3 linked regions of the Pelodiscus sinensis genome follow. Each later gene encodes a partner of the first gene's protein in a complex. Links are inferred from orthologs where the notes say so. Each region holds a gene or a part of one and is shown on either strand. Other genes may lie near its edges.

Region 1 (10,208 bases):
TGAATATCTTGCTTTTTATTACATTTATAGCCTATTTCATGACTCCGATGCATGATTTGTCCTTGTCAAATACGATGATATAGTTGCATGCTAGGATCTGTACATTTGTATTTCTTCTAGGGATGTTAAATATCGGTTAATTGAATAGTCGATTCAGCTCATGAATTCTTATCAGTTACTCGACTATTCTATAGTCCCCGGGGGTGCGGCAGGGACACTCCGGCTCCACTCCCAAGGAGCCGCCTGCCACTCCTCTGTATCAGAGACAGCGGCATGGGGAGCCAGGCAGGAGCTGGTCCACGAGGGGAGCCAGTTTAAAAACCAGCTCCCCTCGCGGACCGGCTGCCTGTCGCCCCGCACTGCTGCCTCGGATACAGAGGCAGCAGCACCTGTTCAGGGTGGGGGCTGAGCTCCTGGACCCAGCATGAGCTGGAACTGAGCTGGGCTGTCTGCCTGCCTGGCTCCTAATACACTAGGTCCTGGACCCGGTGTGAGCCAGGACTGATCCGGGCTGCGGACCAGCCTGCTAAAAAATTTACTGGCACGGGTGGGTGGGAATGCGTGTAGTCTATAGCATTAACCTATAAGCTTTTACTTATTGGTTAATCAGGTAATCAACTACACTATTACATCCCTAATTTATTCATGCCATATATATGCAAATAACATAATTTGTTTTCTTTCGGCTGACAGAAATTTCTCTATTGTATGAGTAACTGAAATATACGAACACCAAGAAATTGACGTGGGCCCCAGTGCTGGATGGATCAGTATTAACTAGTGTTACAGTAGGTGACAGCCTTAGAATGTTACCCCTAGTCCTTAGTTCAAGAGGTTGCTTTTCTCGCCTTTGCCCTGCAAACTGAAGCTGAGCGACAGAGAGAGCCAAAGACTGGCCAATGGCATTTTCCAGCAATAAAATAGCAAATGACGTCAGTCTCTCATCAGCCATCGTGGATTGAAAATATGTTTTTATGAGCCTGAGCTTCGAAAAGCTCATATTCATGGGAGCAGCCTCCTCAAAGCCCTCCAGGCATTGTTCTTAACATAAGAACAGCCAGAGTGGGTCAGACCAAAGGTCCATCTAGCCCAGTCTCCTGCCTGCCAACAGTGGCCAATGCCAGATGCCCCAGAGGGAGGGAATAGAACAGGGAATCATCAACTGATCCCACCTGTCATCCATTCCCAGCCTCCGACAAACAGAGGCTAGGGACACCATTCCTTCCCATCCTGGCTAATAGACATTGATGGACCTAACCTCCATTAATTTATCTAGTTCTTTTTTGAACCCTGTTAGAATCCTGGCCTTCACAACATCCTCTGGCAGGGAGTTCCACAGGTTGACTGTGTGTTGTGTGAAGAAAAATTTCCTCTTGTTTGTTTTAAACTTGCTACCTGTTAATGTCATTCGGTGACCCCTTCAGCTCTGTGTCATGGATGAATGGGAGAGCTTGGCATGCAGAGTGCTTTCCATGTGGCAAAATGTGACAGATGTTGTCCAATTCAACAGAAAGGTCTTTAGCATTGATGGCCGAACGTTCCCCATGTGTCTGGTGAAGGTCCACACAATTGTTCAAGAGATTTTCCTGTCCGCTGGCAGCTTACTACGGTCACACAACCATCCTCCCTCTTCCCCTACAGTCTTTTGATGGTGCTTCATTTGTCCAAATGTTTCTTTGATGGCTAATCAAGCAGTGTCTATGAGCAGGGCTCAACAAACTATTGAATCTACTCGCCCGTGGCGAGTAGATTTCAGCCCGGCGCCCCGTTTACCGGTGGCGTGCACATGCACAATGCAGCTCTTGCACATGCGCAGTGCGGGGTTGGCGAGTGGCTTTCGCTGCCGTTTGTCAAGCCCTGTTTATGAGTGAGCAATAAAACTCCCTCTTGAATTTTCTTCCAAGCTTCCCATCACCTCATCTCTGCCCTCCTAACCAAACTTCTTCCGATTAATATGAATTTCCTTGAAGATGGGCTTAAATCCTCAGTTTCCCCACATTTCTTTAGCTGCAGTGTTGATAGTATCTTCAAGTCTGTTGTCTCTGTAGGCAACAATGAAATCATAAGAGAAGATAAGAATGGCCAGAGTGAGTCAGACCAAAGGTCCATCTAGCCCAGTATCCTGTCTGCTGACAGAGGCCAATGCCAGATGCCCCAGAGGGAGGGATCACAACAGGTAATCCTCATGTGATTCCTCTCCTGTCATCCATTTCTAAACAAATAGAAGCTAGGGACACCATTCCTACCCATTCTGGCTAATAGCCACTGATGGACCTAACCTCCATGAATCTATCTAGCATTTTTTTGAACCCTGTTAAAGATCTAGCCTTCACCACATCCTCTGGCAAGGAGTTCCACAGGTTGACTGTGCGCTGAGTGAAGAAAAACTTCCTTTTGTTTGTTTTAAACCTGCTGCCTATGAATTTCATTTGGTGACCCCTGGTTCTTATATTGTAGGAATAAGTATATAACTTTTCCTTGTTCACTTTTTCCACACCGGTCATGATTTTATAGACCTCTGTCTAGATTTTTTTTGAACCCTGGTCTTCTCTGGCAATCAAGGCAGCTTCTCCTCAACGTAGTAGCAGTCGCGATGTCCATTCACCGAGTCTGTCATGCCTTGTGTGTAACGTGTACTTGGAACAGGAGAACATGCCAAACCACAGCTGAGACCAGAAATTTGAAGCCAGGGATCTGCTTTGCCAGGCTTTGTGCCTCGTCTTGGATTCTGGCCTTGGCTTTACTTGGCTGCGCCAGTTCACGAGGGCGTCATAAACCTCAGTCGCTTGGTTCCCGCCGGCCTTGATGCTGCTCTCCCAGTGTGTGTCACTTAGTGGCAGAGGTGAAAAGTGGCTGGTGCAGGATGGTTCGGCGCACTAAGACCCGGCCACCATACAGGTCTGTGTACGGCTGATACTAAACGCCGCTGGCAGAGGGGGGCTGCCTCAGGGGCCAGCAGTTTATTAGGGCCTGGGTCCTTCAGATTGCCATCAAGAGTCCCAGGGCTCCAGGCTGCGGACACAGCAGCCATGAAGGACTAGTTGGGGCAGTCTGCCCCCTGCCTCACTCCTTCTGGCTGAGGCCAGGTCCCTTCTGGGGGCCCAGAGCTGCTGGCCAAGGACACCCGAAGCAGTACAGGACACACCGGTATGTCCCAGCATCCACCGTCACCCCTGCCTAGTGGTGTCACAGTCCAATTTGTAACATTGCCTTTTTTCCACCTGATTGCGGATGCCAAAAACAGGGCGTACCTCCTTTGCAGCAGTCCGAAAAGAGCCTGATTCTAAAGACGACGATGCTGCGTCTGACACATCTAGGGCGAGGGGATGGCAGTCACAGCTGTTTCTGTCATCACACGAGGTCGATTCTTCCTAACCGTTTCTCTCCTGTTCACATAAGCCAGGTTATATTTTGCCACGACTCCCCTTTTCATATTCTCCTGTATCACCACGCTCCTTCGTACCGCCAAGAAACCTGGACGATTCTCCATCGCTTTCCTCACATTTTCCTTCCTTCTCTTCAAGTACATCTTCTAATTTTATAGTCATAGGACTCCCCTCATTTATATGTCACTCCTCGATTTCTCTGCACTCGGACAACCCCAACAGCCGAAAGTAAGCCCAGTCTGTGTCGTCCTGTTTCTGCTATTTTCCCATCAGATTTGCCCCTTGCTGAAAACTAGATTGCAACTGTGCTTTTTGCTTCCTTCTCTTCCGGGGAATCTTTTATTTTCTTCAGTGGAAAACAGCCAGTGTTAGGGAGAGCAAAAGTCCTTGTCCTCCAGCCTTAGTAAGTCATCAAACATTACATGATAAGCCTGGCAAAGGAAATAACAGTCTTTCTTTTATATTGTAGCATAGGAAAAATATCTATTGAACCCTTATCTTTCTCATTCAATCTGTCCTTTATCTGGTGCTAATTACACTCTTCACATCTTAAAACACAATTACACAGTAAATCGGGGGTGGGGAACCTTTTTTGGGTCGGCAGCCACTGTCCCACAGAAAAACCAGTCGGGGCCCACACAAAAGTGAGAAGCAAAAAAAAAAAAAAAAGTCACTGATGTGAGAAGCAGAAAGACACTCCCCATGTTACCAGAGCATGGGGGGGAGGGGCTGAGCCAGTAGATTTTGTGGGGTCCTCTAGCCTCTAGGGTGGGGCCAGAAAATGAGGAGTGCAGTATGTGGGAGGAGGCTGCTGGGAAACAGGTTTGGAGTGTGGACCCTGGGCGGGAGGGAGGGCCTCGAGGGCCGGATCCAGGCAAGCCGGGGGCCGAATCCGGCCCCTGGGCCATATGTTCCCCATCCTTGATCACAATATGGCACCTGGGCTTTCACTTCATTCTTATATCTCCCTGACTGACAGGTGACGGGCCGCCCCTGAAATACCTGCAAGGGCCTGGCTGACACGTTCTTGGAAGTTTGAGGAAAATGTGGTTCTCGGAAAGTCTGGAAGGTTCCACACGATTCTACAAAGGGCCGGAACATTCTAGGAGTTTAACGAAAAAAGAATCCACTCACAAATGCCTGGAACATTTTACTTCCAAGATTCTGTTCTCTTTTGTCTAAAACCAGCCCTCCGAGCCTGGTGCCCCCCACGGCCGGCACCCCAGGCAGCAGCCTGCCCCGAAATCTGGCCCAGGTTCTGAGCACGGGGCAGTGACAACACCTGCCTGGCTCTCCCTACTCACGTCCCTGAGCACTGGAGAGTTACCACCTCAGCAGAATAACGCGCAGCCAAGTGAGGGAAGACGTGACCAATGGGGACTCAGATGGGTTAATTCTCCTGTTTCCTTGCCGCATCAGCGTTTTAGAGGGCGCTTCCTTGGTGTGGGGGTGGCTGGATCAGGAGTCTCCGCCAGCAGGAACGGCCTCCCCGAGTGCGCTGCAGAACAGACAGCTGAGGAAGGAGCCCTGGACAGCAGGTGGTTCTGTGTTGCTCATAGGAACGCATGCCAAAGCGCGGGGGTGGGGGACCTAAGGCCCAGGGGCTGGATGCAGCCCCCAGCTTGCTTGAATCCAGCCCCTGAGGCTTAAGGCTCCACCCTAGCATTGGGGAGCTGGTGCTCCCCCCCCCCGCTCTCTGGGTTTTGAGGGGAAAGTGGGGAGGGTCTTTCTCCTTCTCAGTCGGGGGCCACGACAGTGAGGGTTTGGTTTGGGTTTTTTTGCTTCTCACTTGTGTGCAGCCCCCGACTGATTTTTCTGTGGGTCAGCGGCCCTGGTCGTGGTCGAGGTCCCCCCCCGACCCGCTAGCAGGACAGAGCAGTGGGCCTCTCTAAGAATAGCAACCACATTTAACCTCCCGAGATCTCAAAGCGCTTTGTGAAGGGGGTCAGCAGCACAAGCCCATTGGGCAGATGGGGAAACGGAGGTCCAGAGAGAGGCAAGGGTTCGGCAAAGCAGCAGTGCCAGGAACAGAACCCTGAGCCCCCTCAGTCTACCCCCACTTTAAGCCAGGCTCCTGCCTTTCCCAAAGCAACATGGACAGGACAGAAGGACTTGGGCATTAGTTGGGCACCCTGGGCTAACACCTTCCCATGACGTGGGTCTGTCTTTGAGCTGCAGGCAGGAGGCACCTGGCCCACAGGGCTCATTAGCCCGCAGTCTCCCCAGGGGTCTTAATGCCCTCGTGCTCCTAGCCCAGCCTGGGTCTATCTGCAAGGAGGGTTGTTTCTTTGGGGCTTTCTCCGCGCCCCCCCCCCTCCGGAGCCCACTTGGGGCTGCACAATGGAGGAGCTGGTTTGGGCAGGAGGACTCCTCCTGTGGCCACCACAACCCGCTCCAGAGGCCCCAGGGCAGCGCGGCTCGGAGCGGGGCACAGAGGCCAGGCGGCTTGGTCGCCCCGCCTTGTTATTGTAGGGTCGCTCCCGCAGCGAGGGGGGCTCCGCGCTGTCCCAGCCTCTCCAACACCTCCTGGTGGCGGGGCGCTCCGGGGGCTGCTCCCCGGGCTGCGCAGGCCAGGCGGCTGCGGGACCCCGCTCTCCAGCGCTGGGGGCGGGCCGGGGGCGGTGCCGGGCGGGCGGAGCTCGGCTCCGGGCTGGCGCCGCACGCACCGCGGCTCCCGTCCCAGTCCGGCTGCGCCCCCCAGGTGCGAAGCGGCGCGGGGAGCCCCTCACCCCCCCCCCCCATGCTGATGCTCCACGTGGCCGGGCCCCCCGCGGCCGCAGCCATGTCCCAGCCCGAGGTGGATCTGTCCGGCTGCGGCATCGCCCTGGAACCGGGGACCCCCGGCCGGGCAGCCCCGCTCCGCAGCCGGGGGCGCAGGCTGGCGGGCCGCGAGAGCCGCCGCGGCTCCTACAAGTTCAGCCGGCGGAGCTCGGCCGAGCTGGAGCGGCGGGGGCCGGGCCCGGAGGACGCGCGGGGGGACCCCCGGGCTCGCCAAGGCGCGGAGCCCGCGGCGCGCTCCGGCAGCGAGACGCCCTCGCCGCCCCCCGGCCGGGGCTCCCCGCGCGGCGCCTCCCCGGACGAGAGCCGCCGGGCGCAGGACGAGAACGAGGAGATCGAGACCCGCGCCGTGGCCACCTCCCCGGACGGCCGCTTCCTCAAGTTCGACATCGAGATCGGCCGCGGCTCCTTCAAGACCGTCTACAAGGGGCTGGACACCGAGACCACCGTGGAGGTGGCCTGGTGCGAGCTGCAGGTGGGTGGCCGGGGGCGTGGCGGGGAGCAATGCGGGGGTGGGAGCTATTGACCCAAACTGTGACCCCCCCCCATGCGGGAGACCACCCCTCGATCCCGCACCTGTGCCCGCAGGTGGGCTGGGGCAGTGATCCCTTGGCTGCACAGCCTCTAAGAGGCAGGCGCATCCCAGTCTCTTGCCCCCTGGTGCGGCACCTCCAGCCAAGCTGCCCCACACGACCCCCCAGGTTCCCAGATCCGGGGGGCTCTGCTTCGGGTTAACCCCACACTGCCTGGGAACAGGGCAGCCCTCCGCTTCCCTTGGAGGGTGGATCGAGGAGGAGGGCTGCAGGGGAGTCCCCACAGTGCCGGGTGCTGGATGACTGGGCCGGTCGGCGTGGGGAGGAATTGGGCCTGTGCAGATGGGACAGAGCTTGGCCAGTCAGATGGGTCTGGCTCCCTACTTTGGCTTTGCCCCGGGGGTTGGCAGGGCTGGGGCAGGCCGTGGGGCTGGGCCAGCTTTCCTGCAGGAGGCCAGGTCCGTGGCTCCTTTCACCAGAGGGACTGGAGAAAGGTGGGGGGGGGGGTGTGACTGGCAAGCGCCCCCTTGATGGGCCTGGGACTGAGCCGTGGGTCAGATGGGGCTCTCCTGCCCCCCCCCCCCAAAGCTGAGTTCAAGACATGCCCCCACCTGGCATCTGAGAGGCAGTGTGTGGCGCTTCCCCTGCCCCCTCTGTTGGCTTCAGCCTCTTATTCCTTGGGCCTCCCCTACCCGCTCCTGCTGCTGCCTCCCACTGAAGCAGGAGGCATAGAGCCACGTGGGTTCAGTTCTGTTATCGCTGGCTCCTGCGGCCCCAGGTCCTCCCCTCCCATGCTTGTGGCCTCCTGTGGCTGGCACGCCGGACCTGTGCAGCGCAGGGTGGTGTCTGTTACGTAGGCGCCTGAGCTGGCAGCTGCCGCCACAGATACTGAATTACTCTAATTCACGGCTATTCCCAGCGGTGCCATTTCTGCAGATGGACTGCAGCAGCCAGGCAACGCCGGCCCTTTCCTGCTCCCTGGCCTGGCTCAGATCCACAAGTGCCATGCGCAGGCAGCTCGGGTGTGTGGTAGTTCTGCCGTGGTGGGCCCTGGTGGGAACGGCTCCCAGCTTCGTGCGGCTCTGGGCTCCCCACGTCCACCGTAGCCTCGCATCCCTTGGTGATGGCAGCGAGCCAGCCCCGCCCCTGCCGATCCCTGCCCCAAGGAGCTGCAAGCTGCGTATGGGGCCTTGGGTGCCAGGGGTGCAGGTGAAGTGCCAAGCAGTCTTCTGCACCGGCTGCCCGCCCAGCAGAGGGGCTGCTTCAGATGCCAGCCGTGCCCCCATTGCCACTTTGTGGGCAGCTGGTTCCTTCAGTTTCTGGTTTAGGGCACCGCTGGCACGTGTTCAAGGAGCTTTTGAAGTGTAGAGAAGGGCCACGGCACCAGCCACGCCCTCCCCTCCCCCTTTGGGGCCACGGCACCAGCCACGCCCTCCCCTCCCCCTTTGGGGCCACAGCGCCAGCCACGCCCTCCCCTCCCCTCCCTTCGGGGCCACGGCGCCAGCCCTCCCTCCCCCTTCGGGGCCACGGCACCAGCCACGCCCTCCCCTCCCCCTTCGGGGCCACGGCGCCAGCCCTCCCCTCCCTTCGGGGCCACGGCGCCAGCCCTCCCCCTCCATTGGGGCCACAGCGCCAGCCCCCCTTTGGGACTCCAGGGCTCCTGACCGTAGGCTAGGAGTGCCTGTGGGTTAATCAACAGATATTTGTTGGTCGGGACGTATGGGCTGTGGGGGGTTGCGTGACGCTGACAGAAACCGTGGTGCCCTCCAGGGCTGGATGCAGGAGCTGTTTTACCGCCCCCGGACCTGGCGCTGTCTGCTCTCCTCTCAGCTCTCCCACCCCTTCCTCCTCCGCTGCCCCCCTCCCTTTGCTGGGGTTAGAGAGGGGGGTGTAGACACTGGGGCGCTTGTGCTGAGTGTGTGGGGGGGGCGGTTTCTCTAGCCCCCTTCCTCCTTCCTGCTGCAGGGCTGGATGGGAGTTCTCCCGCTCTGGGCTTCGGCTGCCGTCCAACCTCTCTGACCACCGTCTTGTCCTTGGGGCGGCTGGCGCAGCCGCGAGTTCCAAGTCCTTGTTGACACAGAAAAACGTGTCTTGCGAGTTTGTCTCCTGCCCCGCAAAGCTGCGCGGGGTGTCGCCGGGCGCGCCGGGGCCTGCGTCTCCTGGTGGGAGGAGGGACTCCTGCAAGGCAGTGGGTGGCTCTGTGAGGAAGGGGCAGCCCCTGTGTGCCTGCCCCTGGGGGCGACCCACCAAGCCCCTGGGTATTCGTGGGGGGCCACGTCCTTTGCCCGAAGCTCATAGTCACGCTGTCGGTGCTCTGCCCCACTGGGCATGACTTTCCCCGGGTGTGTAATTTTTGTGCGTCTCGGAGGGTTGTCGTGTGCTGCGTCCTGTGTTTGGGCCTTGCTAGGCAAGTACGCCCCTGGCCTGCTTGCCGCCTTTGTAGCCTGGGGGCATCCGGGCACCCTCTGTAGCCCCAGGCTGGTTCTCGATCCTGCTCTGGTGTCTCAGCTCCAAGCGGAGTTGCCAGCCTCTCTCCACACCCCACAGGCCACGTCAGAGGGGCGCCTGTCAGGCCAAGGGCACGTGCCGTGGGCCAGGCTGGATCTGAGGTACCCGCAGACGTCCTGCAGCTCGCGTGGGGTAGGGGCTGTTGGTGTCCTAGCCTGTCAGGCAGCATTTGGCATGGCCAGGCCAGCTGTCATGGGCATGGTGCAGACGGCGGGCTGGCATGCTTGTAATAGGAGGCTGCTTGGCATTTTGGGGGCCCATGGAGCACAACAGCCCCCACCCAGCACGGACAGTCATTGAGCAGTCTAGCCGTGTCACCCATTCCCAGCTTCTGTGCCAGTCCTGGCTCCCTACTCCAGCTCTGCTGGTGTCCCTCCCTACCGAGAGCTCTGCCAGTGCCCCTCCTTCCTGATCTGCCCCCCAGAATGCTCTGCCAGTGCCCCCCAGTCCTGATCTGCCCCCCGAGAACTCTGCCAGTGCTCCCCAGTCCTGATCTGCCCCCCGAGAACTCTGCCAGTGCTCCCCAGTCCTGATCTGCCCCCGCTGAGAACTGTCAGTGCCCCCAGTCCTGACCCACAGCCCCCCTGGTACTTCCCCCCACCCCACCCCCAGCCCGAGAGCTCATTCATCATCTCTTGTCCCAAGCCCTCCAAGCCTCACGGAGCCATGGAGCATGTGAGGAGACTTAACAAGCCTGTTTTTGAGCCCTAATCCTGCCGAGACACAGCCGCTGTGGTACAAATATAGGAGCTTGTCCCACAAATGAAAGTGGCTGTGGTTGGGCCCGGGCAGAAATAGCTTTGTCCTGCATTTGTCTCACAGTCGCCGTTTATTGCCTGTCGAATATAAGTGGTCATTTTACCTCAGCCCTGAGCTCCTCGTGCAGCAGCGCTGCTGGTGCCCTGAGGCCTGGCCCGGAGCCAGGTATCCCACCTCGGGCTGCCCGCCTTTGCCCAGCGCTGCTGGTGCCCTGAGGCCTGGCCCGGAGCCAGGTATCCCACCT
Region 2 (10,297 bases), on another chromosome or scaffold:
ACGTGATGGTCCCAGCTCTTCCCATTTAGGAGGAGTTCTTAAACAGACTCACAGACGGACAAATGGACAAATGCAGAAATTCTCCAGAATATATAGCAGATTTAGGTTTTCAGTAATTCTTCTGTAAGATTCTTTTTTTAATATGTTTAATTTCATCAGAGATAAACACCACACATTTCTGACCATTCAGCTGTGTCATTTTGTCAAAGAATGACCATACAGCACTGACAAAAAGAGAACTGAGTTCAAAGAAAGCAATTTAGATTGCCACACACAAGATTGGCTTAGACGAAATCAACTCTGCAAACATATAGGCACATGATTAACTTTACACATGTAAGTAGTAGTCCTACTCACCAGCTCACATGAGTAAAAGTGTCTCAAAAATACAAGAGTTTACAGGGTTAGGACCTACATTTGAAGTGACTGGATAATAAAGCACTTTTTTTAAAAAATTGACAAAGTGGAAGAGAAAAATTGAAATCCAGAGAAGATAAAATAGGTCAAACTTGAGGCCTAAACTATTATGTAAGTTTATAAAATGTTCCCATAAAAAAATTTAAGCCAGTGTACAAATATTAAAACAAAACCACCACACACAAAAAACCCCACCCACCCACCCAATGTATTCAGTAGCCCTTTTCAGTGTGTAGAGTGTAGCTTTTGTGGAGTTCAAGAGGACATGCCCTTCTTGAATGTGAGAACCTGACATCTTAACTGTCTCTTCAGAGGGACATAAATCCAAAGTCCTTACAGCCTTGGTTCACTGAAAAGCCTTGCCTCTCTTTATATGTACACCATGAGAAGTAAAAGTCATACTTTGGATAATTCTATTCGAACCACCAAAATCCCCCAGAAGATTCAGTGCGATTCTTCACTTTCAAAGACCGATAGGATATGGAATAGGGATGTTAAGTAACTGTTCGTTAGCTAATCGAGTAGTCGATTGAAATTCCATCAACTATTCAATTAGTCGAAGAGGGGCGCTTAACTTACTACATTTAAAGTGCAGCCCTGGCGTAGGATTAGCTCCTAGGGGTGGTGCGAGCTGGGACAGAGCAGTCCCAGCTTGTGCCAGCTCCGAGACAGCTGCAACTCTGCCTCCCCAGCAGCGTGAAGATAGTGCTGGGGGGGAACCGTCAAAAAAGCTAGGTCCCCCCAAGCATTGGCTTCTGCTTCCCTTCCCCACCTGCCACTGCCTCTGCTACAGAGGCAGCAGGGCGGGGAGCAGCAAGTAGTCACACAACTAGTCGTTTACATCTCTAATATGGAGATTGTCCTTAAGGAATAAAAGTGTCTCAATCAGTCTAAACCAAAAATAAGGTAAACTGGCTACTATAAGGCTCTCTAGAAATTCAGTGCCCAGAAGGTTCAGTATTTGAACTTTTGGACACTACCATATTAGAAGTGATTAATCAGTGTTCCCTGTAAGGTGAGTACAGGGGCAGCCGCCCAGCTGATTTGCAGAGCGCCCAGAGCAGGCAGCATGTGTTGAAATTGGTGGTGCACACCTGCACACGCCTCAGAACATATAACAAAATTTATTCTGCACATGGAGGGGGGAAAAAAAATAGAGGGAACATTTTTAACAATGGCCACTCTGCCTCATCTTCTCCTGTCAACTCTCAGGCATTAGGTTCACTTTAGAAACTGCAAGAATTGGACACACACTACTATATGGGCAACTATCTAAAATAACTCAGATTTAAATATACTAATGAATAACCTCCACAGCTAGCCATTTTACACTTATTCTAGATCTTGTGTTTCTCATATATTTAACCACTAGCGAGATCACAGGCTGAGAGTTTTGTTTTGAACGTTAAATATACAAACAGCACATCCTTCCCACCCAGACTCCTCATCCCCTCCTACACCATGGGTGGTTGGCTGGTGGTCTGCTGAAAGATTTGCATTGAACAGGGTAGGTTGTAGGCCAAAGTGTTGGAGAACCACAGATCTCAAGGATAGAATTCTGCCCCTTGTTACATGAACAGAATTCTCTTTCCTCAAGTAAGGCCAGTAGTTTTCAATTTGAGTACAGTATGTTGGAAAAGCAAAGTATTCCTCAGATCCCAAAAGGCAGCAGGTTTCCAGTATGATTCAGTGAGAAACTTTCCCCCAACACAAAGGTCACCAGAATAATTTGGAAAAGAAGCATTCAGTGGAGTTTTTGGGAGTAAGTTTCTGGCTTCAGAAAGTCACAGGGCCAGGGCAACTCAAAGAACACCACGTACGTGGTAAACTTTTTATATCCCCCTCTTCTCTAGGTCATTCCTATGCAACAATCACAAGATGCAACTTCTCATTATTTGCACTATGTTCAGGGGGCCTTTACAGTCTTAGAAAAACTACAGCACCGACAATATCACAGCCAAAAACCAAAACTGCATGGGAAACAGTTAATGGCCCAAATACCCTATGAGCAGCTATTTAGCTGCTGCTGTCTCCCTCTTCCTGTCATAAAACACAAGTCCCTGGTTTCTGCTTATAAAGAGGTGTGTAAATTCAGTACACTTGCAAAATTCATAAACTTGTGTTTGTTAACTACAAGAAGCACTAAATGGATGCCACTGGGTACAAGTCAAGATTTCACTGGAGTATCTGGGCTGCCTCTCACTCCATTCATATGATGAAATGGGCTCTGCCCACAAAGCTATAGCTCATTTTATATTTGTTTATTTGAGTACTAATAGTTTAAAATTGTATTGGTAGGCTGCACTGTATCAACCCACATTAAGTTTCCACACCTCACTTCTGCATATTCCTTAAATACCTACATCAACCAGGCAAAATGCATTCGAACATCTTGCACACACAAAAAAAATCTGTCTGGCCAGTTTTCACATGGATCTAAATTCCCTTCCCTTCTGAGGAGGGTTTGTGTCCTGTGAAGTAACCTTCATTTTTTACATTGCAATGTCTAGTAATTGGAAGATAAAAGGGATATTTGTGCTGGAGATTAAGAAAAAAAGGCCTTCCAAGAACAGAACGCTAACATGCTCCAAAAGGAAGGAGAATTCTCACAGGAACATGAGCAGTGTTCCCTGTGATCGTGCAGACACTCGGGGATTCAAATCCTCCCCCCCAGCTGATTAGGATTTTTGTTTCTACTAATGTTGCACATTCACACCTGCCTCCGTGCACGGATGGAAAAGCTTGGAGGGACCACTGAACATGAGAATCACAGTCCTTGAGTTAATCGCCCTTCCTTGCATGCCAATGAGTGCCACTGGCTAAGTGAGCTGGTTCTTGTAAGTCCCACATCTTACAAGCTTATGCAACTATCCAGAAGCTTTTCAGGTGAAAAGGCAGCTCTCACGAGAATGTGCTTCCCCGGGGACTGCAGAGATTCTTGTGAACCGCACCGCTCCCAGGTCCACCCGTTCAGGCGCCCACATGGGGATTTGAAATTTTGAAAGCACACTCCGCGATAGTTAACCTGGGGCACTTTGTACGGGGGGGGGGGGGGGGGGAATGGTGGTAACAAAATGCCCAGGGGTAAGGAGTGATGCTTGTCCCCGTGAAACACAATGCAAAATCCTTCCTCACTAGGGAGAGCTTTGAAAATTAACCCCCCCCCCCCCCCCCCCACACACACAGAATCGTGAGCAGCAGATCTGTGGCACTTACAAATAAGCGCCAAGCTAGTGTCCCCTGCAACGAGATGCCAACCCCCCCCTTAGCGTGACCCCCCAGCGATCCACCAGCAGGGCGCTTTGCACGCCCTGCCCTCCCCCGTGCAAGCACAAAGGCGGCTGCCCTGCCCTGCCCGGCGCGCGCACACACACACATACCTTTCCTCCTCCATTGTGCGCAGCCGGGCTGGAGCCTGCCCTCTGCATGCACCCGCCAGCCCGCTCGCAATCCTGCGGCCGCTCGCCGGCAGCGCGCTGGCGAGATCAATCAGCGCCTGCCACTCCGCACGGCTGCAATCGGAGCCCCGGGCTCCCCCCACCGCCGAGCTGCTGCCTCTCACTGGCTCCCTCGCGCAGCAGCCGCCGCACAGCGCCTCCTTACCCAGAGCTCCCTGCAGCGGAGCTGCAGCAGCCCGCTCCCTCCGCCTTCCTCCCCTGCAAGCTTGCTGGGCTGTCTCCTGGCAACAGCAAGCGGTGCCATTTACACCTCTCCAGCTGCTGCCGCTTGCACACGGCCTCCCCACGCTCTCTCCAGTGCCAGCCAGGGAATCTGTCCAGGGGGAGCAGGGGATTGAGGGGGAACTTCTGGCTTGTCACATTCACTCAGCAGGGAGCTGCTGTCTCTCAAACGGGCCCATGCTTTCCTCCATTACGTGCTGCTGCAAGGCCCAAATTCACCTCCGAGACCTTGGCCTACCCTAGGCATTGCCAGTGAAACAGAATGGATCTCCCTCCTCCCCCAACTCCCTGCATTTCCCACCCAAATCCGTGGCTGGCCCTTTTCAAAGGCTTTAAAACAACAACAACAAATGGTCCTGCAGCACCTTAGAGACTAACAAAAAAAACGTAGCTGGTAGCATGAGCTTTCGTGGGCACAGCCCACTTCTTCAGATGAATGGAGCAAGGGCTCCAGCGGTATAAACAGCAGAGAAAGAGGGGACTGGTGCCGGAGGGAAAGTGAAGGAAAAAGAAAATCTTGTAAACTGTCATTCATACAGTTGAAATACTCCCAAATGTAAATGATAACCCATGAACAGATCACAGAGTGGATCTGATTCTAATGGCTATTAAACCATTAAAATTAATTGCTCTGAGCAAATCCATGGAGGACATCCCACGGTGACATTCCTGCTTGAAGAGAGACTCTGTTATTCACGGATTTCTAGGCCAGAAGCTATCACTGTGATCATCTAATCTGATCTCCTGTATATACCCCAGGCCACAGAACTTCCCCAAAATAACTCCTAGAGAAGATTTTAGAAAAGTGTCCAATTTTTATTTAAAAATCACGAGTGATGGTAAATCCACCAAGACCCTTGTTAAAGTGTTCCCATGGGTATTTACTATCACACCAGATTCAGAACACTGAGGATGTTTCCCATGTATTTCTTTTGACAATATTCTTTGTGAGAGAAGATCCTCACCAAGATCCTAGTGTACATTCCAAGTGCCCAATCATATACTCATGGCATCTGGTATACCATGTAGTACAGTGTTTCTCAAAGTGGTCTGTGAAACCACTTTGAGAAACCTGTTAACTGGCCACTACGGTGTGTTTACTTACTGGTGTCACGGCCATGGAGCCTCGCAGCTCCTATTGGCTCCGTTTTGCCATTTGCAGCCAAGAGGAGCCATGGTATATTTTCACAGACCACTTTGAGAAATACTTGATGTAGTGAAAGCATAAGAGTTCTAGGCAAGGAGCAAAAACTAAAAGTAAATAATTTATTCAAAAACTGAGGGTCCAGACCTGTTCCCATGGAAGTCAATGGCAAAACTCCCAACAGATTTCTAGACAAGCAAGAGCAAGCCCTGCCATTGATGCCCAATGCCAATCCCCTGAGCAACATACATTTATTGAACAAACAGCTATCATAACAAAACACTAGCCTTTCAGCCAAAGACCCATACCAGAACACCCCACTTCAACCAGCCAAGGACCTACAACTGAACTAATCCAACAACTCCGTTTAAATGCTTTGTTAAAACAGATATATTTAATACTGAATCTTGAATTCCTTCCAATGGGAATAGTTTCTCACAGCAATGGGGTGTTGAATCTGAGACAAATAATACAGCTAATCAGTGGACAGAGGCAAGGTTTCTTTACAGCCACTTTGCGAAGTGCTCATGATAGTTTACCTAAGGCACAAAACTGCTTGCTTGCCTTTTACTGCAACTGCTGATAGCCATGAAAAAGCTAGTATTTTACTCTACCAAAAATGTTACTCAGGTTGAGTGGAATTTTTCCGGGAGAATTGACAATGCTCATTGTAAAACTGGGACTGGTGCATAAAACTGGTATCTTCCTACTTGGCGTGTGTGTGTGTATGCTCCCAAATCTGCATCTTGACAAATAATCTTGTCTACTTCTTTTCTTAAATTAGAAAAAATGGAGTCTATAACCCCAATCTGTAAAGAAACACATAAGCACACTAATAAAGCTGATGAGCTGAACTGAGATCATAAACTTTTCAGGACAGGGACCATCAGCTGAATGCAACTGCTGAAATGGGATGCCATGCTTCCATTTTTAAGTGCCCAACTTGCAACATCTTGGACCTGGTTTTCAGAGACACTCTCACACAGTAGTCCACATTGACTTCAAGAGGAAGTACGAGTATTAAGGTCTTCTGAAAATAAGGCCTAAGTATTTCTGTTTGAACACCCAGTACTACCATCATCAAAAATCAAGGCTATGTCCAATATCTTTATTCATTCTGTGAGGAGCCTAGTACATCTTTGATACCTAAAGAAACTATTTAAACGTGACAATTCCAAGAATGTAGCTAATCTTTGTCCTTTCCCAAGACAAAAGTAAAACAATGACCAAAACATCTGAAACATTAATGACAAGATCATAAGGCTCCAAATCATCAAAACACTCTAGAGAAAGATTTAGGACAGGCTCCCCGATAAGGATTTTTTCATATCAAGCAATTAATGGTTTTCGAGTGAAAGCATAGGCAGTAGAAACATTGGAATACCTTTGCTTTAAGCTTTTGCCTTCTGTGATAGATTCTCTTCGTCAAAGCCTTTCAGCGGGCCAGTATTTTTTCTACAAAGTAACTAACATTTAAAGATCAGACACGCTGTCCCAGACTGAGATGCAAAAGAATCTTTTTATGGAATTTTTTTTTTAAACTATGACTGTTGCCCTCTAGTGGTAGTTGTATATTTTACACTAACCCGAGTTCACAAAGCCACATATTTAAAAATACATTTTTTTCTAATCTGTAGCATGCAGAAACATCCCTTTATTTTTAATTTAAAAATGGTCCGTGACTTATGCTGATCATTCCTCTTTACATTTAAGATTTAAATATAACAGATTACATCCTAGCTATGAATTTTGGAGACATAAGGTGGGTGATGATTATATTAGACCATCTTCTCTTGTAAGAGACTTAAAACTTTGGAGCTACACAGATCTCTTCCTCAGGTCAAGGAATGTAAAAGACAAACTGCCTGTTCTGTAACTGGTATTTTTTGAGATGTGTCACTTATGTCCATTTCACATTCCACACGCATTGGTGCCGGAAGTATGTCCTTCAGCAGTACCCGTAACGAAGTAGCTCTAGTGACCCCTGGAGAGGCACCTCCCTGGTGCTGTATAAGGGGCACTATACACTTCCCCAACCCTCAGTTCCCTCTTGCCAGAAACTCTGCCAGTGGGGAAGGAGGGCAGATTGTGAAGTGGACATGAGCAACATCTCGAAGAACACAAGTTACAGAACAGATAACTGTCTTATCTTCAAGTGCTTGCTATCCATTCCATGTTAGGTGACTCCAAAAAGCACCTATGGAGGTAGGTAGAAGTTCTTGGCCACGTTGATTGTAACACAGCTCTGGCAAACCCATCATTGTCTCTAGCCTGCTGAGTGATGGCATAGTGAGAGATGTGAACGTGTGGACCAAGGACCACGTATGGTTCTACAGTCATTGCGGATTGCACATGTGCCAGGAAGGCAGCCAGTGATGCCCGCACTCTGGTTGAATGAGCCCAAAAAATCAGGGGTAGCTTTGCCAGCTTGTAGCAGGAGCAAGAGAGGACGCAGTTGGAAATCCTCTGCAACAAAACCAGAAGGCCCTTCATCCTATCAGCTGTAGAGACAAACAGCAGCATTGACTTGCTTAATATGTTCTAGGTAAAACCCAAGGCCTTCCAGGTGACCAGGGCATGTAGATGCCTCTCTTCCACTGTCTTGTGAGGCTTGCGCAGAACACAGGCAGGAATATGTCCTGGTTCATGTGGAAGGAAGAAACCACCTTTAGCAGAAAGGCCGATAGGGTGGTAGCTGGACTTTGTCTTTATGGAAAACTGCGGAAGGCAGTTCCAAAACCCATCTCGCCAATATCAGAGTCACTAGAAATGCACCCTTCCAAGACAAGTGGGAAAGGGACAGGAAGCCAGCCGCTCATGAGGTGGACCAGTGAGTCTGGAGAGGACCAGGTTGAGGTTCCACAGTGGTACAGGGTTTTATACCTGCGGGTAGAGTTCTTGGAGATCCTCAGTAATCTGACCATCATGTCATGAGAGAACACCATCTGTCCCTGAATCAGCTGGTGGAACATGGAGATAGCCAAAAGGTGTTCTCTGAGGGAAGAATGTGCCAGACCCTGGTTCCCAAGCTGCAGCAAGTAATCTAGGAAGGCCTGCTCTGGAGAACATTCTAACACCCTACAGGAGACCATCATCCACTTAGCCAAGTCAGTCAGTCTCATAGATGGCCTCCTGCTTCCCAAAAGGACCTGCAGGACCTCTTCTGAGCAGGTACACTCCTCCAGGCTCAATCATGGGGCATTCACACCAAAAGGTGCAGATATTCAAGTCTGGGCTGTAGGAGTCAACCACGGTCCAGATGGTAGGGAAGAAGTCAGGGAGGGCCCATTTGCATATTAATGAGCCATACCAGTGCTGGTGAGGCTGCAATGGGGTGATCACAATAACCCATGCCTTGGTGGGAGGATCTTCATCAGATCCTCAGCTCATGACAGGAGGAAGGCATCAGAGAGCGAGTCCTTTCCCAAGCCCTGCTGGGATCAAAACCAGTGGCACTTTCCATTATGCCTGGTTGCCAACAGGTCCACTTGGGGAATTCCCCACCCCTGGGAGTGAATGCGAGTGACTTCTGGGTGAAGTGACCACTTGTGGTGAGAGGAGAAATCCCTGCTGAGGTGATCCTTTAGAGCACTCCTAACATTCCTGGGAGGTAACCTGCTTCCAGATGGATATCATGGCTGATGCAGAAATCCTGAAGCTGGAGAGCCCCTTGGCATAGACCCGACGAACACGCTCTCTGTTGAGTGTGGATGTAGAACATCAAGGCCATGTTGTCGGTGAGGAGACTCACCCTCTTGTCAAGCATGCCCCCTCCTCCCGCTAAGTCCCAGATCGGACTAACACACTAATGACCCCAAGGTACTAACACTAAAACCATTTACAGCAACTTTACAAAGTCTCTCTGAACAAAGGCTAAGCAACACTGAAGCAGCAACCTTCTACCATGCATCATAACCGGCATCAAGAAGGAACTCAGGGTAGGGCGAGCGGCATCCCTAATACTGTGCCATGCTAGCACCACTCCTCTCTGGGTACTGCTGAAGGAAAAACTTCCAGCACTGATGCATGTGGCAAACACATACACCTGACATGGACTGGACAGGAGCAAGCACTGGAAGAAGAATCAGTGTCACAGCTAAATACAAGGTGAATCATATTGTTAAGCATCACCAGGAGTTAACAGCTGTCCCACAAAGCCATTCAAGTGGGCAATTAACACTTCTGCAAGCATAGGATGAACGAATGTTAGGGGGCTACAGACTGTTGTAATGAAACGTAAAACCAGTGTGTCTATTGCAGGGGTCTCAGACTCCCAGCCCGCAATGCATCCCTGGCTGGAGCAGTTGCACATTACAGCAAGGAAGTCCTGGTGAATGAAGGGAAAGGGTTGCCTGTCCATTCCATTCCCCAAAGTCCCCGCCCCCCGGCTCCTGAGAGATGCATCAATGTCATCGTAGTGCTTTAATGAAGATGCTCTAAGCCGGGGGTTGGCAACATATGGCACGTTTGTTGTAAGTGGCACTTAGCGGGAGCTCATCGCCCCCCCCCCCTTTCCACAGTCGTGGCTCCTCTGGTATCCAAGAATGATTAAAGGTTTAGAGAACATGACCTATGAAGCCAGGCTTCATGAACTGGGCTTGTTTAGTTTGGAAAAAAGAAGATTAAGGGGGGACATGATAGCGGTTTTCAAATATCTAAAAGGGTGTCACAAGGAGGAAGGAGAAAATTTGTTCCTCTTGGTTTCTGAGGACAGGACAAGGAGTAATGGGCTTAAAGTGCAGCAGGGGAGGTTTAGATTGGACATTAGGAAAAAATTCCTAACTGTCAGGGTGGTCAAATATTGGAATAAATTGCCAAGGGAGGTGGTGGAATCTCCCTCTCTGGAGATATTTAAGAACAGGTTAGATAGACATCTGTCAGGGATGGTGTAGACGGAGCTTGGTCCTGCCTTGAGGGCGGGGGGCTGGACTCAATGACCTCTCGAGGTTCCTTCCAGTTCTATGATTCTATGATTCCAGCAGGAAGGAGGTAGCGCTGGGGCTGAGGCAGCAACTCTTCAGGTGTCCAGGGCCGGCTCGGGACCGCATGGCTGCAG
Region 3 (10,698 bases), on another chromosome or scaffold:
GTCTTTTCCACAAAAAAGCCCCAATAGCGAAAATGACGATCGGGGCTTTTTTGCGGAAAAGCGCGTCTACATTGGCCACGGATGCTTTTCCGGAAAAGCATCCTGCCAATGTAGATGCGCTTTTTCCGGAAATACTTATAATGGAAAACTGTTCCGTTTTAAGCATTTCCGGAAAAGGGTGCCAGTGTAGATGTAGCCAAGAAGTAGGGTTCACCAAATGAAATTAATAGGTAGCAGGTTTAAAACAAACTAAAGGAAGATTTTCTTCATACAGCACACAGTCAACCTGTAGAATGCCTTGCCAGAAGAGGCTGGGAAGACCAGGAAATTAACAGCGTTCAGGAAAGATCTAGTTAAATTCATGAAGGCTAGCTCCATCAATGGCTATTAACCAGGATGGGTACAATGGTGTACCTAGCCTCTGTCAGAGGTGGGAATTGGTGACAAGAGAGGGAGTGCTTGAAGATTCCCTGTTCTGTTCACTACTTCTGGGGCATCTGGCATTGGCCACTGTGGGAAAACAGGATATTGAGCTAGATGGACCTTTGGTCTGACCCAGTATGGTTGTCCTTATATTCCTATTTCTTCCTTACATAGATAGAGGCAGCAGCACAGGGAGGGGGGGGGCAGGTGGCACCATGGGGCTGGTGCTGTGGGAACCAGCTTTTAAGCTTGCTTCTCCAAGAACTGGCTTCTGCCTGTTCTTCCCTTCCCCTGCAGCAAGGGGGGACAGGTGGGTCCATGGAGCTGGCTCTCCCCTGCACCTCCTTATCCTCCGCACTACTGCCTCTCCATCAGAGGAACCGGCTCCTGCTTATGGCCCCCCACCCCCCGAGGCAGCAAAGGGGGGAGGCATGTAGTCAACAAGATTAACCAATAAATCCAGGCTTATTAGTTAATCAAGTAGTTCTCTACACACTGACATCCGTAATTTCTTTTAGAGTAAACTTTAATCTTCCACTTTATGTGCTGTATATATGGATCATCATTCAGAAATAAAAGCAAACAAGTAAAATGAGCTGACTACTCTCTTTGAGGGGGTTCCAGTTACAGTAATTGCTCATTTAACACTATACATGTTTCAGAAAATGATTGTGTTAAGTGAAAACGTGTTATGCAAGTCAATTTTCCCACTGAAAATAATGGAAAAGGTGGGGATTGCGTTTCAAGTGGTGGTGTCTGTTGGGACCGGGACATAAGGTTGGGGGAGAAAGACTGGGTTATAGCAGGGAGGGAAGGTGTTTGGCTCTGGGGAAGGGAAGGGGAGAAGAGGGGAGAGGGATTGGGTTGGGAGTATACCCCTGTGATAGGTCTTCCGGGACCCACACTGTGTCCAGTGAGGGGGGGGCTTGCAGGCAGGGGCGGAGGAGAGGGGGCAAGGTGTCCAGCTATGGGGAGTCAGCAGGGAATGGTGCAGCTAGCGGCGAACCCTCCGCCACTTTGCAGGGAGAAGGAGCCGCCAGCAATGGGAAATCATGTTATTCTGGGGACGGTCGTGTAATTCAAAAAACATTTCCTAAAAAAAAAAAATCGTGCTATCGTGAAAACGTGTTAAGCGGGCATGTGTTAAATGAGGAATTACTGTATAATGGTGAAGGGGCCAATTACATATGAATGGTGAAACTACCAGATTTTAGGTTACAAAACAGGAACGTCCTAAATTGGCTATGACATTATAAAGCCTGCAATGAATTAAAAAGCCCACCTTAATATGCATCCTATTTGAGGGACTATTTTATACACTTTAAATTACTTTGAGTTTGTATAGTTATAGCTCCTAACTAACTCTATTTTCGTTGTCTCGAGTTGCCCCATATTTGTGGCATCTGAAACTATATGAAGACTGTTATGAAGAAGGTATGATACATTAATATTAAACCACAACATATGTAACCAGTGTGAACCTGACCCTACGCATGGTGGACGCATGTGGTTTGACTCTTCAACACTTCCAGCTGTCCTGATTATCATGACTGATGAAACAGAGCAAAAATAATGTGGTTTTCTGAATCAGAGGAATGATCAAACTCAAACTACCTGTACTGTGCTTATAATATTCACATAACCCTCCTCCTTTAACTTGGATGATTCTTGTTCCTCCTGAAATTCCAAGACTATAATAGCTACACTTGGGCTCTGATGGAGTAGCTAAAGATTAAACATTCAAGGACAATATATAACTTCACTGGAATGTCAGATTACAACTAACATGGTGATTATGTAGGGGAAAACAATATAAGGCAGGATCTCTTACATCATCCAATGCCTGAATTGGTATAAAAATGGGAATCTAGATCTGTGTCTAGGCATGCAACATATTTATTGGTTATAAGCAAACAGATAAGACCCAGTTGTCTTTTCTAACTTCATGTGTCAAAAGCCCTGACCTGTCAGATCTTGAAGAGCACAAAGTGCTGCCATGTATACTGAGCAGAGTTTTCATAAGTATATTCACTTCACCATCCCAGACACACCACCCCATTATGATTAATCTTTCTATCCTCAATCTTCCGCTAACTCCTCCAAAATTCCAGCTCCTACAATTAGCACAGGCTGCAAGATTTATTACAGACAGGCTTCTTTTTAGAGGGAATCTTGGGAAAGCACAATTTTACCATAAGATAGAAGAGAAAGTAAGACTAGGTGGTATACTTTCCCATTTATGCGCACTAGTGTGAAAAGTAGGTGCCTGTAGCAAGTTTTTGGTCAACTGCCTAAATAACAAATATCCTGGGTATTAGAGAGAAATATGGGTAAGGTAATACACTCCAAAACCTGGGAACAAAGAGTGAATGCACCGAAATAACGTGTTGCTTATCTGCAGTACAAAGAAAACATGTGGCTGTTAGTTACAAAAGTATTGCTGCACTAGGGAGGAAAAGGAGGTCGCAATTACTATGGGCAGGAAAGGAGTTACACATCTATGCATACTACTATGTCTCAAGCACTAGAATACTCATTGTACTTCAAATCTGAGGAAGTAGGGGACTATGGAATTGGTAACCTTTTGTAAAATAAAGAGAAGCAGAAATTATGCCTACCTGTGTAACTGCTTATTGCTTAGCAACCCTGTTTTTTAAAAAAAAACCACTACATCCACATGCTTTGAACACCCCAGAAATCTCTTAATGTAGTGATACATCTCAGTACATGCTTTAACAGGTGTACCTATATATGTATGCATACACAAAACCAGCAAGCAGATTTCCACTGAGTGTGGGTGGTACTTTAAATGTTTCATTGAATTGCACACCATAAACATTTTTCATCAAACAGATGCTATAAAAATATCTACTGGCAATGCAAAAATGAGAGAATCTCAGTCAAGATGAGAGAGACCTAACAGGGTGGTTACAGATTCGCCTTGAAAGCTTCCTTAGTGAGGGTGCTATTCCCATCCTTGAGAACAGATTTTAATGGCACTCCTTAGCATTTTCTCTCCTGGTCTTGGGAGACAGACATGCATTTTACCATGTTTTCTGCTGACCATTTTTAATCTTGCTCACTTTTTGTGACTTCCCCTCATTCACCTGCCCCTACTTCTGACAGCCCTTAAGAGCTATTTATGAGATACTATCATGCTTAGCGCTGTATAGGGTACAATAAGGCAGTCCACCCCCACCACCCTCCAGAAGCCCTTGCAGTACTGGTGCAAAGCAAGAAGTATTCTTAAAATCCTGCCGAACCAAGCCAACTACTCCGTTTTACCTGTTGGATGCTCCTGCTTCGAGTTCAATCCCGGGCGGGGAACGGGCTAGCAAGTAACACGATGAAACAGGGAGGGCTTTAACTGAGCCAGGCTTTCACGTGTCCTAACGCCACCAGGGCGGATGGGACCCAGAGCCAACCTGCAGGTGGGAGACGCGCATTCTGCCCGGTCCCGGGCAGCGGCGCAGGGAACTCCCCGGCTAGCGTCGCGCTGACACAGGCCAGGAGCGAGAGGAAGGAGGGGAACAAGCCTGAGCAAAGGACGCTCCAGGCGCCGCGGTGTCAGAGCACTAGGAGGGGGATCCCGAGCCACAGCTGCCGCCTCCCCCGGGCAGGAGCTACTGGAGACCCGGACGCGGGGAAGGGGCAGCTCCCCAGCCCGGAGGCCGGAGGAGACGCTGGCGGGGATTCCCCGCGTCACCAGCCGGGCGCGCCCGGGACACCCCCGAAGCCCCTCTCGCCTCCCCGCCCGCCGCACTCACACCGGCGGCAGCAGCATCTCCATCGCGGCTCGGCGCAGGCTCCCTCCTCAGGACGCAGGCACCGCACGCCGCCGCCAGCAGCAGCAGCATTCCAGCCGCGCGCGCCGGGACAGCCCGCGCCGCCTGCGCCTCTCCGCGCGCGGGGCTCCGCTATCGCCGCCCATCCATCCGCCTGCCGGAGCCGGGCTGCGCTGCCCCTGTCGCCGGCCGCCCCTGGCTCAGCCCACTTCCGGGTTCCAGCCACGCGGGCGGGGACGGCGCAACGTCAGCACGCAGCCTCGAAGTGAGCGGGACGCCCACCCGCCGGCCTCGCGCTCTCCCCTGGGGTGTCCCCGCCCGCGCTCGGGGCGCGAGGCTTTGCTGGGGCGCGGCCGTTGTGCAGCCCACCCCGCCCCCACCGCTGCCTGGGCGCGGCCCCGGGTGTCCTGCGGGGACGGACGAGGCGGGAGTCAAGGCACGATGCCGGTGAGCCTGGCGCGCGGGCCTCGGCCTGCCCAAGCCCTTCCCGCTGCTGCCCCCGCGTCGTATCGGCGCCTCCAGCTGTAGAGCCGTCCCTGCCCCCCCCAGCAGGGGCTGCGAAGGGCGACTCAGCTTTGGCTGCCCTGGGGGCCAAGATGGTCACAGCTTGAGTGCGGTTTTGTGCATGCAACTAGATATGCAAATAGCTTCTTTCACACTGATGGGCACGAATACAAAGATTAAGGCAAGACTGCAACACGCAGGCCCCATTAAGTCACATCTGATGTTATTACTAAAATGCAACATTTACCCAATTTCCACCCATAGGACAGCACTTTTAATGACCAATCACAGTTCAGGAATTTTAACTATTAAAACATATCCAGAGAAGACCATTATATTGATTCCTTTTTTTGTTTTAGCTCCCACTCATGGGCTGCATTTAGCCCGCGGGTTACATGTTCAGTAGCCCTGGCTTAAAGGCTTGGGAAACGTGGCTCCCTGGAACAGTGAGTGCAGCTCAATCCATCACCTGCATGGGAACCCGTGTAAAACAATGGGCTCTAGTAGAGACAAATGGCACACATGCCCCTGTCTTGTCGTTGAAACTGAACTGATATTTTCGGACTGACAGTGAGGTGTAAATATTCTGGGTGGATCTGTGTAGTATGGGACAGAGCGGAGTCACTGACCATTTCTAAGCGAAGATGAGATTAATTTCTCTTTTAGAAGGAAAACATTTTGGGGCAGCTCTAGGCCTAGGTCAGACTAAATCTGTGGTGTCTAACACACTAGCCATGTGGCTATTTGGCAGGTTGAGCGTGGCTAGATCACTACAGTATTGCAGAAGTGGTTGGACACCAGAGAACTAGATGATTACAAGGGTCCCTTCTGGCCTTGGAATCTATGAGCTTTACTAATTTATGGGTCAATAGCAGGCCTCCCTCAATTAGGACTGTGACTGAGTTTACATTCTCTTGATTTTTTGCTCACTCCATTCTAAAATCTACATTGCTTTGTGGCAGATGGACCTCTGTGATACAGGCGATTATGATCTTCCAATGGATTTTTTTTTTTTTTAAGAAAAGCTGTCTTGTACCTAGTGCTGTTCACTATTAGAACATGACATAAAGGTCTGGTATGGTCTCCTAGGAAGTTAGGATCATTAAGGCAGCACTTTCCACAGACAGGAGTTGGGTCATACCTGTCCTCACATGCAGAGCTCACCCCTGTCCCCTGGTACTGTTGTTATTGTCAAGCCGGTTGAATGTAGGGAGAAACAGAAATGTTTTATTTTGGGAAATACCACCGCCTTCCCAGTAACTTTTGATAGATGTTGTTGGTTCCTGAAAATGCAGATGACTCTCTTTAGTCTGTGTTCCATATATCCACAGTTGGAGCTCATCCACCTTCATAACCATTAGAGAACATGGTCCTCATTTACAGGGCTTGACAAACAGCTGCAAAATCCGCTCACCAAACCCGCAGTGCGCATGTGCAAGACCCGCACTGCGCATGCGCGCACCGCTGGTGAACGGGGCGACCGGCTAATATCTACTCGCCACGGGTGAGTCGATTCAATGATTTGTCGAGCCCTGCTCATTTACATGAGCAGTTGTCGGAATTCACTCATTAATCGGAACAGGAGCCTTTATCAGGTACAGTCAGACCTGAAGCTTATGTGGATATGGATGACCACATCCTGAAGACAGTAGCTTATCCACTACTACATATTGTTATGTAAAGAACAATCTGCCATCCATACTAAACTCGAGGTATGGTACTTGTTAGATAACTCTTGTACTGACTGGCAACATGAAATCACTATTCTCTCAGCCACCAGTGAGCAATAATTTTTGATGGGGCCCCTCCAAGAATTTGGAAAGTGGTCAAACGACGCACTCTTCCATGTTATTAAATGGAAGAGGAGCAGGGTCTGTGATGGAGGTTAGGTGCAGAAGTGAGCTTGGTAAGGGAGGGAGTTAGGGTGGAGGAGGCAGTTGTGACGTGGGGCTCTGGACTGGGGTGTAAGGAGTTGGATTGTGAACTAGGGCAGGAGGGGACTGATCTGGGTCAGGGGATTGGGATGCTAGATCTGGGAGGGAGTATAGGTATAGGAGGGGGACAGAGGATTTGGGTATGTGGAGGAGGGAGCAGCGGGTTGGGGAAGGGTGGGACTGCAGTGCCAGCAGCAGGCTCTGGCCAAGAGACTTACCAGCCAGCAGCCTATTCCTGAAGGAGCCTCCCTGCCTGCCCCACCCCTGCAGAGGCTGCAGCCATGTGCTCTGTGAATAACTATGAGTTCCTTGTGCTTGGTGGCTGCCTGTTATTGAAACAGGAAAAATGCATTGGCCAGTTTCTGGCAGGAAGCTGGCCACTGGGATAGTGTTGGGGTAGGGAGCAGCTCCTGAAGCTTTCACCCCTCCATCCGGGCTCAGTTTTTAAGGTGAAACTGCCCCACAATCATGTTTGAGCAGTGTGTGGTTGGGGCGAGGCAAGCAGGGAGCCTACCTGGGGCTCCGCACAGCATCCACGGTCCAGATCTGGTGGTTTAGGGGGCTGGATATGGCCCACGGGCCAAATTTTGCCCAGGCCTACTATAGGCTGACTCCATGCTTGGCTCCAACATCATTGTGGGCACTTTTGTTGTTTCTACATGTGCCAACTGTGGAAAAGAACTCATTTTATCACCAGTTACTTGCAAAATTCCATTAACTCTGCAGCATGACAAACGGTTAGTACTTGGAGATTTTAATGCTATGACTGGATGCAGTTGAACTCGGTATGAAACCCAGAGACCTGCAGTAGGTTCCTTTGGCTTGGGTTCCCAAAGAACAACACTACCTGGCTTTAGTGGTCCAGAGGCATCTGCAAACTGAGGCCTCAGACTTTCACAGCTTTCCCCGTATCTTCTTTCAATCCTGATGTTCACTACCAGTAAAATGTCCAGAATCTTTGAGGACCTTTTTGAAGCCATGAAATAAACATAAATCATAATTAATCACATATAACCTCAGTATAATCACATATAACCCTCATGGAAAATGTGGGGAGCATGTGGAATAGTGTACAAAATACTATCATATTCCACTTCTGGAACAATCAGCTTCAAATGATTAACCAAGACCCCTTAGCTTCATGAAGAGGCCTTTGTTATATTATTTTAAAAGATAGACACACATAAGCAGACAGATATCTAAGAATATAAACTGCTGAAGTCATTTTCTGGACCAGGACAAAATGAAACTGAGATTAACATCAATTCCCTGGCCACCAAAGCAGAGGACAGCCTAAAGAACAACAAATACATCCTGCCTACTGAGCCATCAACACACCTGGCTGGCAGCCATAAACAGCCTTCTAACATCCCTATTATGGAACCAGATGGCTTTGCCTGCTCATCAATGGAGGAGGTGTTAAACAGATGGAAAACACATTAAAGCATGCTGAAGCTCAGACTTGCTGATGACTGTCTAGAGAGCTATATGACCTGATAAGCCTCACAGGTGTAGATCCAGGGACAAATATTGAGCTTTGGTAAATCAAGGAAATAGTTAAGGCCATCCAAGAGTTACACACTAGACATGCTCGTGGACCTCATGGTATTCCACGGCAGCTGCTCAAAAGTGCCTTGGAACTGGGGAGCCCCAGCTTCCATAAACTGTTCTTAAAAAGTGTTAACACGAGGCAAAGTTCAATAGACTCAAAAGACAGAATCATAGTGTCCCTGTACAAGGGCAAGGAATTTTGCACTGAGCGTGGCAACTACAGGCTAATCTCATTACTGGTCCCTGGAAAGGTCTTTGCTCACATTCTGCTTGATAGGATGCAGTCACTCCTTACCATAGATCAGTGGTCCCCAACCTTTTTAGGTTGTCGGGCGCCAGGGGGCATGGCCGTTTGCCCGCCGGGCGCCAGGGGGCGGGGCCCGGGGGCGCCCCCCCATCCACGCGCCCGGGGGCGGGGCCCCACCTAGCCGCGCGCCCGGGGGCGGGGCCCCCCCATAGCTGCGCGCCCGGGGGCAGGGCCCCCTCCAAGGGCCGCGCGCCCGGGGCCGGCGCTCCCCCTTTCCCCCGCCGAGCGCCCGGGGCCGGCGCTCCCCCTCCCCTCCGCCAAGTGCCGAGCGCCCTCAGCCAGCGCTCCCCCTCCCTCCCGCCGAGTGCTGCGCGCCCGGGGCCGGCGCTCCCCCCCGCCGCCTCCCGCCGAGTGCCGCGCGACCGGCGCTCCACCCGCCAAGCGCGCTCTCCCCGCAAGCGCCCGTGCGCCATGTGCCCGGGGCCAGGCCAGCCCCGAGCACCTGGCGGGCGCATTGAAATGCCCCCGCGGGCGCCATGGCGCCCGCGGGCACCGTGTTGGGGACCACGGCCATAGATCATCATACATAGCAGTCAGGTTTCATTGCAGGGCAATCATTGATACATTCTGGCCTTACTTTGTGGTCTGTGGCTGAGCAGCATCACAAATTTAACAGTCTCCTTCATGTTGCGTTTTGATTCAGTTGACAGGGTCAGCATTTCGGTTTGCACTGAAAGGAGTTGGTGTTCCAAATGTTCTATTAACTGATTCACTAATCTTTGCATCTATATTGATGCAAAAATAGGCACTTAATTCATGTCTTTCACCGTGTTTCTACACCACTGTAATGTATCCCTGCTGCACATCTGTCGGGTACTATTGGGTCAGGCTGTCAACTGAAAAATAATACTGGCTTCTCCATAACTTTAGAATCAATTCAGGTCAAGAAGAGTTGAGTGTCCTCAGCACAATTTTGGTCAGTGTCTTGCTCAAGCACAAATCAGAGAATTCTAGCCCCACTCTCCAAGGTTTTCAAGATGGCATTGAACATCTTATGGTGGAAGAAAAAGGTGCAGAATCTTGGAGCCAGACCACCAAAACCCTCAGTGAAGGTGGTGTTGAGTATTGTGGAGAAAATTATTTATTTACATTTCTTGCAGAGTTCAAATGGTCACAGCAAACCAGACAGTCTTTAACAAATAGGTCTTACCATTCTGGCATGAAGTCCGTCTCACTTATGAATGCAACAGTGTGTTTGCACTGAGACAAAGTTCAGGATCTATAAAACCAATATTGCAATATGGGTCAGAAACCTGGACCCTCTTCAAGCAGACTTGAAGCACCTAAAGGTATTTGATATGCATTGTTAGCACCAAATCCTCAACATAAAATGATGTGACTTTGTACAAAATGTCAAAGATCTGGCCTTCCTCCAATTGCTCACTGAGCAAAAGTGTTATTGCATGCCCCTCAGCCATGTCACCAGGATGGACTAACACACTCCAACACACTGTGTCCTCAAACTCTCCATTGATGTACGAAGGGGTTCTTTACTGGAGCCTATCTGCTGATACCTTTGGAGCAGTCCCACAGATTCAAGGATTTGCAGGAGTGAGCCAGATCTGGAAACTGTACTACATGACACTAGGAGCAATATTCTCAGCCATGATCATTCTGGCTGGCACAATACTCCTTAGTAGTCTATGTGTGTTTAATCTGTTCCCACAAAGCTAGCTATGTCTCAAAACTGGTGCATAACATCTATGGTTAAGAGAGAAGATTTCTATAACATTTAAAATGATCTAAGCAAAGAATCCTGAATTATGGCATACTTTACAAGTGTTCAACGGAACTTAAAAAGACTAATACTGTGTGTATTTATTTGCTGAGTGTTGGAGTTCGTGAGGAGTTCAGGACGTCTAGCAACAGACTAGCCCACCAGACACTGAGTATTCTAGCCTCCGGAGATAGCTGCCTTTTGTAAATCCCTGAACCTGAGTACTCATCAAGCATCAGATCATGCAGATTCAGACAGAGAGGCTAGAACTTCTCCAACACTAACCCTCAATTTTGAAAGCTCTCCTTTTTGTAACAGCATCCAAAACAGCACTCAATTCCCTACTCTATGCCTAAGTGGCCTCCTTTGAAAACTGATTTACATGTGCTTATGTGAGTCAGCGGTGGATCCAGAAATAAAACCCAGAGCTGTGCACATATACCATTAGAATGTGCCATTAGAAACAACCAAAAGCAA

The links.
Region 2: the proteins of WNK4 (region 1) and KLHL3 are in contact, whole or in part, in a crystal structure (PDB 4CH9), measured with the Homo sapiens proteins. The link is inferred for Pelodiscus sinensis from reciprocal best matches to the Homo sapiens genes WNK4 and KLHL3. Residues at the interface, in NP_115763.2 of Homo sapiens: Glu557, Pro558, Glu559, Glu560, Pro561, Glu562, Ala563, Asp564, Gln565; in NP_059111.2 of Homo sapiens: Arg339, Phe355, Gly357, Ser358, Leu359, Arg360, Thr386, Phe402, Gly404, Gly407, Ser432, Tyr449, Gly451, Ser481, His498, Arg528, Tyr577.
Region 3: the proteins of WNK4 (region 1) and KLHL2 are in contact, whole or in part, in a crystal structure (PDB 4CHB), measured with the Homo sapiens proteins. The link is inferred for Pelodiscus sinensis from reciprocal best matches to the Homo sapiens genes WNK4 and KLHL2. Residues at the interface, in NP_115763.2 of Homo sapiens: Glu557, Pro558, Glu559, Glu560, Pro561, Glu562, Ala563, Asp564, Gln565; in NP_009177.3 of Homo sapiens: Arg345, Phe361, Gly363, Ser364, Leu365, Arg366, Thr392, Phe408, Gly410, Ser411, Thr412, Gly413, Ser438, Ser439, Tyr455, Ser487, His504, Arg534, Tyr583.

What each region holds. Positions count from the first base shown.
Region 1 is NC_134739.1:8,657,364-8,667,571, reverse strand, and holds the start of WNK4 (serine/threonine-protein kinase WNK4), read left to right. Parts: upstream 1-5,670; 5' UTR 5,671-6,126; coding exon 6,127-6,639; intron 6,640-10,208. UniProt on the Homo sapiens protein: Serine/threonine-protein kinase component of the WNK4-SPAK/OSR1 kinase cascade, which acts as a key regulator of ion transport in the distal nephron and blood pressure.
Region 2 is NC_134727.1:31,918,599-31,928,895, forward strand, and holds the start of KLHL3 (kelch-like protein 3), read right to left. Parts: upstream 4,032-10,297; 5' UTR 3,812-4,031; coding exon 3,798-3,811; intron 1-3,797. UniProt on the Homo sapiens protein: Substrate-specific adapter of a BCR (BTB-CUL3-RBX1) E3 ubiquitin ligase complex that acts as a regulator of ion transport in the distal nephron.
Region 3 is NC_134715.1:63,199,405-63,210,102, reverse strand, and holds the start of KLHL2 (kelch-like protein 2), read right to left. Parts: upstream 4,354-10,698; 5' UTR 4,214-4,353; coding exon 4,191-4,213; intron 1-4,190. UniProt on the Homo sapiens protein: Substrate-specific adapter of a BCR (BTB-CUL3-RBX1) E3 ubiquitin ligase complex that mediates the ubiquitination of target proteins, such as NPTXR, WNK1, WNK3 and WNK4, leading most often to their proteasomal degradation.